Cricetulus griseus: one gene and its partners. The protein of the gene in region 3 purifies or fractionates together with the protein of the main gene of each other region. This does not show direct contact. Links are inferred from orthologs where the notes say so. Each region holds a gene or a part of one and is shown on either strand. Other genes may lie near its edges. The genes, in order: Dyrk1b, Dyrk1a and Fam53c.

What was found.
Region 1: the proteins of Fam53c (region 3) and Dyrk1b purify together in Homo sapiens (affinity purification with mass spectrometry; 3 studies listed by BioGRID and IntAct, counting the BioPlex papers as one, with this or other methods). This does not show direct contact. The link is inferred for Cricetulus griseus from reciprocal best matches to the Homo sapiens genes FAM53C and DYRK1B.
Region 2: the proteins of Fam53c (region 3) and Dyrk1a purify together in Homo sapiens (affinity purification with mass spectrometry; 8 studies listed by BioGRID and IntAct, counting the BioPlex papers as one, with this or other methods). This does not show direct contact. The link is inferred for Cricetulus griseus from reciprocal best matches to the Homo sapiens genes FAM53C and DYRK1A.

What each region holds. Positions count from the first base shown.
Region 1 is NC_048602.1:7,917,735-7,921,482, forward strand, and holds the start of Dyrk1b (dual specificity tyrosine-phosphorylation-regulated kinase 1B), read right to left. Parts: upstream 2,694-3,748; 5' UTR 2,595-2,693; coding exon 2,516-2,594; intron 1,431-2,515; coding exon 1,267-1,430; intron 491-1,266; coding exon 371-490; intron 273-370; coding exon 84-272; intron 1-83.
Region 2 is NC_048597.1:3,174,638-3,178,285, reverse strand, and holds part of Dyrk1a (dual specificity tyrosine-phosphorylation-regulated kinase 1A), read left to right. Parts: intron 1-1,674; coding exon 1,675-2,295; 3' UTR 2,296-3,648. UniProt on the Homo sapiens protein: Dual-specificity kinase which possesses both serine/threonine and tyrosine kinase activities. Exhibits a substrate preference for proline at position P+1 and arginine at position P-3.
Region 3 is NC_048595.1:202,726,340-202,729,987, forward strand, and holds part of Fam53c (protein FAM53C), read right to left. Parts: intron 1,060-3,648; coding exon 275-1,059; intron 1-274.

The DNA of each region.
Region 1 (3,748 bases), on a different chromosome or scaffold from region 3:
CAGAACTCTGGGGGTGGAGGGAATGTGGGTAGGGTTAGTGGCTGTCTGCACCCAGACACTGGATGAGTGGGGGAGTCCCACACCTGGCCAAAGGAGCCTTTGCCAATAAGAGAGTCAATCTCATAGCGCTCCAGCCAGCGCTCGCCACTGCGCACAATGTAGTCGTGGTTGTCGTCGTCATAACCGTGGTTCAGGACCTTCTTCTCCTTTTTGGTGCTCGAGTCCTGGGGTGGCGCCTGTTGGGCCCGCCGCTTCTTCTTCGCATAGTATACCTGCTCAGGCGGCCAGGAAAACGGACCCTTGAGTGACCTTGGCAAGCAGCCAGGACTCTCTTCAGCACCCAGCCGGGGGAATCCCCCGCTGCACCCACCTCATTGATGTGCTTGTAGGTCTTGATGAGGTCCACTGAGAGCTTGCGCAGCGGGGCTGAGGTTGCGTCCCGGAAGGCCAGGGGCAGTCTCCGAGGAAGTAGCCGCACATCAGGCAATACCTGTGGGGGACAGGGGCAGACACAGAGCACCTTCACCTCCAGCCTCCAGGGAGAGAAGGAAGGGTAAAGCCGATGGCTGTTTGGCCATACCCACATTTACCTAGCTCTGCACAAGAGCAGAGCTTCCCCAGGGTCAGATCCCATTCTATGGGGCCTGTCAAACATTGAGGTTCCCCAGACAGCTGCTCGTTGCATGATGAAGTAAATGACCGTCTACCCAGCCCCTGGTCAGCTCATCTGCTTTCTGTCTGTATTACCTTCTAAAGCTCAGTGGATGCACTGAAATGGAAACCTGGATTCTCTGTACCCAAGACCACTGTTTCTGGGAACCAGGCCACTGAATTCCCTGTATTTCCATGTCTGTGCCCAGTTCTTAAAGCGCTGGGATGGGGATCAGACTTTTTGGGTTTCCCACTCCCCTCAGCTCACTCTCCAGGCTTTTCACTCCAAACCGCTGTCTCTTGTGGACACCAAGACCTGTGTTCTGGTCTGTTGTGTGCCAGAGACAGTTCTGAGCCCAACAAACATTACACTTAATTTTCTTAACCCTTGAAACCAGAGATGGAGGGCCATGGAGAAGCTCAATAACTCAGTCCTCATGGCAGGAGTAATAAGTGTGGACTTTCCAAACGCCACCTGAAATTCTTCCAGTTGTCACCAGGCCGCCAACATCCTCAGAGATCTTCCAACAATCATGCTGCTGCCGCCTGGAGACCCTTTTTTTTCCTCAGTCTCTTCCTATCCCCAGGCAGGTGAGAAGCCAGCTGAATGCCTACCTGTGTGTGTTCCTGGGGCTCCGGAAAGCCAGAGAAGGGACCATGGCCTGGTGGGACGGCCATGGTGGGCTCAGAGGGCCGCAAGGGTGTGAGGCCTGGAGCGGGAGCCCGGCCGGGGGGCGCCTTCTCGCATCCTGCACCTCGGCTGCCACCGCCGCTGAGACCTGAGAGCAGGTAGGGAGCAGAAAGACACCATGGAACAGGAGGGTATGTAGGTCAGGGCCACGCAGGAGAGTGGGCATGAAGAAGAGGGCAGAGCAAGGGGAGGCACTCGGTAGCAATGCAGAGGGGAAGTGGGTTGGCATAGCAGTGTCCCTCAACAAATGATCAGCCGAATAAATGCGGCAACACAGTGGGAAAACATACAAGGGAATGGGCAGAGCCAGAGGGGTGGGAGAGAGTGCGTGCAAGGCCAGGGCAGGAAGGGCAGAGAAAGGCCAGTAATTGGAGGAGCAAAAGAGAAGCCGGAAACCGTGTAGAGTCTGAGCAGTAGAATTCATTTTTTCTTTGAATTTCTGCTGGTGCCCATTCCGAGTCGCTCAGATAAGGCCCCGCCCTCGCATGGTCTTCCCCTCAACATCAGGATCTGGGCCACATTGAGGGCCCCATTTCAAATCTAGTCTAGCCTCTAGTTCTTTCCACTCTAGGGAACTCCCGGACAGCTCACACCATAGCAGTCCTTGCGGACCTCCCAGCAAAATCAAGGTTATCTGGGAACTCGTGTTATGTGTGAGTGCTACGGGTGTCTCAACCACCAAGGCGCCCTCTGCCCCTGCCCGGAGACCAACTCGACACCCCATCAAGACCGCTCCCCGCTCCCTATTCGGGGTATCCCGTGCCAGGGACCCTTCTTCTAAGTAGCCTATATTTAGGATTTCACCCCTGCTACTAAGGAAGACAAGAGGGAGGTGTCGTTTCTCAACAGTTTAAGAATCACTGTCTCTTTCTCCCTAACACTGGGACCCTTGCGGTCCCCCCTCCTAGCCAATTATTTCTAAACCGGGTCACTCCACAACTGAGCCTATTCCTAGAAGGGCCCAACAGCCGAATCCCTACACGACACACACGTCTTGGCTCCCTGAAAAGTGTCCTCCAGAACAGAACCTTCTACCTAAGAGCCTCCCCGGTGTCAGTCAGATAGATCCCTTCGACCCTACGCTCCTCCGTCCGCCACTCCAGGTCCCCTTTACGGGGGGCTGCAGGGACAAACCACCTCTTCTTCCCCGGCCCTCCCAGCTCCCACCCCTACCCGGGTCAGGGCTGGCGCCGGGCCCACGGGGGGCTGGGGAGCGATGGGGCCCCCAGTGCGGTGGGCGAACGGCCAGCATAGCGGTGGCGGCGGCGATGAGAAGGTGGCCGCCTGTCCCCGGCCCGGCCGGCCCGGCCAGCCCCGCGGCGGTGAGGGCGAGCGGGACAGGCGGCCCCGGTGGGTGACAACAGCAGCCGCCGCCACCGCCGCCGCCGCCAGGGGGGGGCGGGGAGAGGAGGGGACGAGGGTCAGACCGGGGCACGCGGGGGGAAGGGGGACAGCAGGTGGACGGGGGAGGGGCGGGTTAACCCTCGCCCTACGGCCCAGCCCCGCCCGCGCGGCCACCCGCCCCAGGGACCCTGGCGTCCCGCCCCCCACCCGGCAGGCCCGCCCCGGCCGGTGGAGTCCCGGCGGGCGGGGCCCCGATGAGCGCGGCAGGCCGCACCTCCCATGGCAACAACCACGCCATTGGTTGTTGCCGCCGGGAGCCCAGCCAATCGGCGCGCGGGGCAGCTGTTGCTAGGCGACAGCGAAGCGGCCAGCGCAGCCGAGCCCAAACAAAGGGCGGGAGTGGGGCCGGGCTGCCCCCTCCCAGACTCCCTCCCAAGACGGCTCCCTCGGGCTCGGGCTCGGCCCCTTCCCGAAAGCCGGCTGGAAACAGCGGGGCTCGGCCGCCGCGGCCCCAAGCCCCCTCCTCCGCCTCGCTAAGTCTCGCGGGGACGGGCAGGGCGGATCCCGGCCTGCCCCCCATCCACGCGTGCCGCCCCGCCCCGCCAGCCCGGCCCGGCCGCCAGCCCGGCCGCCCGCCGCACCGTTACCTGAGGGCGTGGGTTAGGGGACTCAAACTGCTCGGGGAGCCCGAGCTCAGACCTCCCCACTGGCTGAAGGTGTCCGGCGGACGCGGCGAGCCAGGGCCCCGATTACCCAGTAATGCAACCAGCAAAATGGCGACCACAACAAACCGGCCCCCCTGTCCTGGCTCCGCCCCCACACCGCCCACGTGACCCAGGGGGACTCGGCGCGCCTGCGCCTTCAGGGCGCGGAGCTGCGCACATGCGTAGCAGCCATCGGTGGAGCATGCACCATGTGACCGGATGAGACTTTCCCAGGCAGCGACCCCCCCCAAGCGCACAGAAAGTTGGTGAAGGGCGCATGCGTCTTTTGGCCACTGAGCAAACAGAACCAGACAAGGGCGACAGATGAGTATTTTAATAGAAAACAAAACAAAACTAC
Region 2 (3,648 bases), on a different chromosome or scaffold from region 3:
AGGGGTTGGCCTGTCCCGTGGGTAGCAAGGCCCTTCCATACAGGGTGGACGGCAGTATCAAGTACTCCTTATCTGAGGGTGCTGGGACTCCAAGCACTTCGATTTCAGTTCTTTTAGATTTTGCTGTAGCTGTTCACTTTTTACCAGTTGAATGTCCCTAATCTGAAATTGTTAAATGCTCTCATTTCAAGTGTTTCATACCAGAGTAAGGATGTTCAACCTGCATTTTCTTTTGTGAGATTATCTTCCAGTTTTGTCCTCCCCTACTGGATTTTCAGGACTTTTCATTCCCATGTAACTTTTATTAAATAAGAACTTAACATTTTGTGCTAAACTAGTGGTAGAGACAGCTTTTGCCTTTTCAGAGGTTACATTGACACAAGTAAGCAGCAAAACACAAAAATGGCAAGTGATACTTACAGAAAGGGAAAGTCTAGAGGTGTGCGCCTCTGGGGAGTTACCTTCATGGTGGTGGCAAAGCCCTGGGCAGTGCAGACTCCAGTGCAGGCAGCCAAGGCTCGTGAGGTATAGTGACTAACAGACTAACTGCACACTATCTGAGTAAATCTGAGAGGATGCAAGAGTTTTCCCTCCTTGAGTGTAACAGAGAAGCAGCTGATGCAGTGTCCAGAGCACTGCTGTGTCGCCCCCGTGTGACTCCACGTGCCCTCAGGTCAGCTGCCCAGGCCATGGTGCCCAGCAGACAGACCTAACTGCACTAGATACAGTGAGTGACATCTAAAGTCACGCTCATTTCAGCCACAGTTGTGCTGATGGCTGTGCCCAGCATGAAGGGGGCTGGAGAGTCCGGTACAGTCATGTTGTACATAGAGGGGCACATCAGTAGCCTGGCCACAGAGGGCTGGGGCAGCATGAGTCAGAACATCCGGGAACTCAGGAACTGACATGGCGATTTTAAAAGGGGAATGTAAGCAAAGATTAGAAATAAACGTGCTCTTGATGGGAGAAAGCAGCAAGTGCAGATGCCATGAGTCTCAGGTCAGGTCAGGGTGAGAAGGGTCTGGGGAGATTGGGATCCAAGTCCGTAAAGGAATGAGTTGATTTTTGTTTTGAAAGGATAGTCTTGCTTTTCTCAATGGGTTGAGAAGAACAACTGTGGAAGCGGGGGGGCGGGGGGGGGTGTTAAATTTTTTATTTTGTGAAGAGGCCTTTGCATTAGCCTAGGCTAAGTGGTAGTGGTGATGGCGGTAAGAAAAGTGGTCAGATTTGGGATCTGGTCTGAGGTATCTCTTTGGTACTTCATGCTGGGTTGAGTCCGGAGGAATTGTCAGACATCTGGGTGGATACGAGTCCTTTTATTGTATCAAGAGATCTGGAAGGAAGAGGGACTTCAAGGGGAAATGAAGGCTCTCATGGACCTGCCAGATGTCCTGGTGGTTCCTTATAGAAAGCTTACTGACCTGGTGTAGACGGTGACATGGAGACCTGGACATGAGTGTAACTTCTTAAAATTGGCTGATTTTAATTGTAAAACATTTTTTGCTCTGGAATTTACATAGAATTTTATGGTATAGAACTATCTAGTGTGTTAAAAGCTTCAACAACCCCCACCGCCACCAACCCCAAGTTCACCCACCTGAGTGCAGATGCTCAGGTGTAGGTTAAGCTTGGAAGCAGTGCTGAATAACCCTTCCTTAATGTCTTCCCTCACAGGTGCGCCAGCCATTCCCGGCTCCTCTGGGCTGGTCAGGCACTGAAGCTCCTACACAAGTCACTGTTGAAACTCATCCTGTTCAAGAAACAACCTTTCATGTAGGCCCTCCGCAAAACGCATTGCATCATCACCATGGAAACAGCTCCCATCATCACCACCACCACCACCACCACCACCACCACCATGGACAGCAAGCCTTGGGTAACCGGACCAGGCCAAGGGTCTACAATTCTCCAACAAATAGCTCTTCTACCCAGGATTCTATGGAGGTTGGCCATAGCCACCACTCCATGACATCCCTGTCTTCCTCAACGACTTCTTCCTCCACATCTTCCTCCTCTACTGGTAATCAAGGCAACCAGGCCTATCAGAACCGCCCAGTGGCTGCTAACGCCTTGGACTTTGGACAGAATGGAGCTATGGACGTTAACTTAACCGTCTACTCCAATCCCCGCCAAGAGACTGGCATAGCTGGACATCCAACATACCAATTTTCCGCTAACACAGGCCCTGCACATTACATGACTGAAGGACACCTGACGATGAGGCAGGGGGCTGATAGAGAAGAGTCTCCCATGACAGGAGTTTGTGTGCAGCAGAGTCCTGTAGCTAGCTCGTGACTACATTGAAACTTGAGTTTGTTTCTTGTGTGTTTTTATAGAAGTGGTGTTTTTCCCAAAAACAAAGTGCAAAGCTGCTTGAATCAGAAGGAGATTAACACACTGAACCGCTACAAGAGGGCAAAGCTGACTTTTTTAACTTGAAAAGATTGCAAAGGGACAGAGAAGTTTTTCAGAGCCATGTCCACCTGTCTTCATGGAGAGCTCCCAGGTGCCCTCTTTTTGTCCCCCCTTTTAACCTGCCATCTCCCGGTCATAGTGGGTTTGTCTTTCTATCCAACAAAAGTTAAATGTTCAGATGTTGGTCTTGGTCATTTGCCAACTAATTTTAAAATAAAAAGGCACTGCACATAATTTGCATAAAGGGCCCCATAAGGGTGTTTTGTTTTTTTGGTTTTTTTTTTTTTTTTTCATTTTTATTTTTCTCCTTTTCCCCATGTTTTGTTTTGTTTGGGGTTGGGGTGGGCTGGGAAATAAGGGTTTTTATGTCCTCTATACACTTGGGCACGGAAATGCAGTACTGTAAGGAAGAGGGACCTCCAGCTCACACAAACACCATCTTCAGCTATGTGAAAGGGACGATTGTGTTGGAGTTTGTAAGGCACATTAAGCATGCTAAGTGGCGGGGACCAGGACTCTCCTATCTGAACCCACCGAGGAGCGAAGCAGCAATCCCATGGGATCCTGTGGGTCTCCTTCCTGTTGGAGAGGCCCCGGGAAGATGGGAATGGAACAGGACTGGTCTCCTCAGCAAGGTGCACTGAGAAGCAACACCGCGCGGGTCAGTTGTGGCCAGTCCTGGGGAGGTCTGAGTGGTGGTCTTTGGGATGACCTTTGGCCTTATGGATTTGGACTCGAAGTTAGAAGAGCCTACCATTTCAGATACAATCACTTGTGGACATGCGTTTGCAGACAGTCCTTAACCCTGAAAACACAGAGAATGGGTAATTCAAGAGGCCTTTCTTTTAAAATAGACTTTTGTGACCCACTAATTGTAAGGTATTGCAAGGTCACTTTGCGTGTGTCATAAAGCTGACCCCTTATTGGTTGAAGGCCACAGATGTAGTGGTTTGCTTTGATGGAAATAGCTACAGCTGTGCCCTTCCTGCTTTTTACCTTTTCTTTGGCTTTTTCTCGGCACGTGGTGTCTTCACCATTTCTTCTGCACAAAGACGTCTTCTGTTCATCCTGAACATTTTAAAATGCAGAATTTTATGTGACTGCTTTTTTGCCTCACAATTATGCTGTGAATTTTACAAAAATTTATTTTCTTTTTTGATAATTTATTGTACCAAAGCTGTTTTTATAGCACATAGATGTCTGTAACCAATAATGTAGCAGTTCTGCACTTTG
Region 3 (3,648 bases):
CCTCTGAGAGAACTGCCTCTGGTAGAACAATTAGGAATCCCTGTCTAAAGGTTTAATGTCTCAGTCTAGTTTCTTTGAACACCAAGGACTAATCTGACAGGACAGGAGACTTTAAAGGTTAAAACTCAAATAGTTCCAGGCAAGACAGAATGGTCCTCCTAGAATAAACTCTAGAGAGAAGAGTTTCCAGATATACCTACAAGGAAGGTGGTGCTAGGAGATGTTTCAACAGTCTTTCCACTCTGTCCATGCTCTTCTGGTCTACCAGTCTCACCTGATTCATCTTGTCAAAGTCCAAGGAAGGCCGTAGGCGCCGGGAGTCCTCTTCATGACGCCGCTTGACCCCAGTTTTGCGGGCATCCAGGTCACAAGGCTGCGAGCGGCTTCGGGGAAGATTTCGGAGACCTCGAGGTCTCCAGGGCAGCTCGGGGGAAGATGCAGGGGAACTCCGGGCAGAGGGCAGGAAGCGGCTTGCCTGTGGGCCCAGGCTGGGTGACAGGGAGAAGCGGCGCTGGGGTGGGCAGGGTGACAGGGACTCAGCATCACTCTCCCAAGAACCATTCTGAGGGGAGGTGGCGCAGGTTTGAGAGGAATCTTGGGCCAGGGCCAGGCTGAAGAAAGGAGGGCTGTAGGGTCTGTGGGCTGGGGCACATTGAGAAGAGGCACTGGGAGCTTGGAGGAACCTGAGGCTGGAGACCCGCTTCGGGGGGCTCTGGTGAGGCACCTGCGGCCCACCCCCTCCAGCACTGCCCCGGTGCTTGATGGGAGTCCACAGCTTGGAGGGGGCGGGCCGCCACACTGGCTGCCAACGAGACAGGTCCACAGGCACCGAGAGTGAGCGGCAGTGCCTCTTGGATGGAGGAGCAGGGGGCACAGGAAGCTTCTCTGGGTCTGGGGGTTCAGGTCTTAGTACTTGGGGGAGGGGCTGCTCCTGCGGGGACGTTCCCCGACTGGGTGGTCTGAGGTGCAGGCTTAGGCCTGAGGGATGGTAGCTGAAGTTGAGGCTGTCCTGGAACTCAGCACAGGAACAGTGGGGCAGGCCCCTCCAGGAAGCACCTTCTGAAAGGCATTCATAATAAAAAGTATTAACAATAGCGAACATATGATAAGAGCTTATGCATCACGTAATGCAGTCAATACTTGGTGTGGCTTCACAAAAATCTTCATGGAGGTACCATGATTATCCCTTTTTTAGATGACTGCAGCCTAATTGGCTCCAAAGCATGTAGCTATCAAATGAACAAAATAGGATTCAACCTTTACTATGCTACCTTCGTCCTAAGAACATCCTCGAATAAAGAACATTTACACAGTCTGCCACTTCTCTAAGGTGAAACCGTGAAGAGAAACCTGTATGTCTCTGTGTATGACCTACTCACCCCCAATATTCTAGACCAATCATATCTACAACCCAGCTCTCCCTGCTCCCAGCCTGCCTTCTGAAAATCAGGCCTATGTTCGCCTTCCCTGGTCTTTTCCTCTTACATGTCACCAGGACCAAGGAGGGCAGTGCTGTCTAGTGGAAGTAATCAAGCAACTGCTTTTACTGCTAGAGAAGGCAAGGAAGATGTTGGTGGTCGATGGTAGAACATGTGCTAGAAAAACTCTAAGATTCTGTATTATTTTTGTTCTTTTATGTCTGTGCGTATACTCTGGTTCCCTTCCCCCTTAGACCTTCAGTATAAATTTTTGGAAAAAAAAAAATTTTTTTTTTTTTTTTTGAGTCTAGCTCTCACTATATAGCCCTGGTTAGCCTGAAACTTGCTATGAAGACCAGGCTGACTACAAACACACAGTGATCACCTACCTCTGCCTCCTAAGTGCTGGGATTAAAGGTATATACCACCATGCCAGGCTCTGGGCCTTTTAATGTCAAGTAGATTGGAGGAACAAGTGGGTATAGTAGCTCAGACCTATAATCCCAGAATTCTGGAGAAGCAGGAAATGAGTTCATGTAATTATTTGATAATCACATGTTGAATTTGAGGCAAACCTGGGCTACATAAATAACATAAAAGCAAACTTCCTATGTCTGACAAAGATAAGGGAAACAGGCTAAAAGGAATGATCCTTACTCACTACATTCCAACCAAAACTGTAACTTTTGGAGAGTGGGAGAGTGAGTGAGTGTGTGTGTGTGAGAGAGTGTGTGAGCGTGTGTGCGTGTTATGTGTGTATGGGTGTGTGTGTGCATGTGTTCGTGTGTGTATGTGTGTACATGTTCATGTGGGTATGGGCAAGAGCCCACATACGTTGACCTCAGAGGTCAACATCTGGTCTTGCTCAATGGCTCTCTACCTCATTTTACTTTTAAATTACATTTTATTTATGGGTATATGCATGTGTGTGTGCGTGTATGTGTGTGTACCAACACCACAATCATGTGTATGAAGATCAGAGGACAACTTGGGAAGTCATGTGGGTCCTATGGATGAACTCAGGTCATCCAGCACTTTATGACAACCTGTCTGCTCCCCCCCCCCCATTTTTTTATTTTTATTTTTTTGAGGTAGGGACTCTCACTGAACCGGTCACTCATCAATTTGGATAAGCTGGCTGGCCAACCTGTCTATACTTCTCTAGGCACTTGAATTAGAGACTCTGCCCACTCCAGGATTTTCTGTGAATGCTGGAGACCCTGACAAATCCAAACACTCATAACGCAAGCACTTGACCATTTTTCCAGCCCCCATCCCCCAACAGTGTCTTTTTTTGAGACAGGGTCTCATGTAATCCGGCCTCAACCTTGCTATATAACCAATGCTGACCATGAACACCTTTTATCTTACTGCCTCTACCTTCCCACATAAGATAGATTTGGGGGAAATAGCTCACTACAGGACAATGGGCCTATTCCAAGTTTTCTCAGTAATTCTTTAGAAAGGGCACAAATAAAAGTATTTAAATCAGACTTGATGACAGCAAGTATTTGGTCAACAGTTCTTCACCTTACTAACTTTCCTAAGGCAGGATCATGGATCCTTATGACATAATACCTGGCTTTCAACAAGTGCTTAAGAGAAAGAGAATGAATGCAACTGCTTCTGCCAACTCACCTCCCTTTCTGGGTATCCCAGAAAAGGAGACATGTGCAGTCTTTACATGGGTCAGACAGCTTCTGTCTGTCTTTTTATGCTCATACTCATAGGTCCTGAGATTAATTCATACTATAGGAATTTACATTGCAGATGCTTTTTCACATATCAAAAATAACCTAGGGACAAAGTTATTCACGACAGTTCTGGGTAGGGTATAGAAAACTAGTCTGGAGAGGTGGCTAGTAGGTGAGAACACTTGCTCTGTAAGCATGAGAACCAGAGTTTAGATCCTAGCACGAATAGCCAGGCATTCCCACCTAAGTCTGTAGGATGGAGACAGGAAGTTCTCTGAGGCTTGCTAGCTGCCAGCCTACCTCTAGGTTCAATGAAAGACTGTGTCAAAGTAGTGAAGCAGAAGGATAGAACAGAACATCTGACATCCTCCTTGGGCTTTAGTGCAATAGTATCCATACATACACATGTGCATATATAATACATGCACACACACCCCAAAATTAGAAGACTGCAAACTGCCCAAATCTCCATCAGCAGGGATTAGGTAAACTACTACAGATCCATGCAGTGTAGGAATGTACAATTACATTAAACA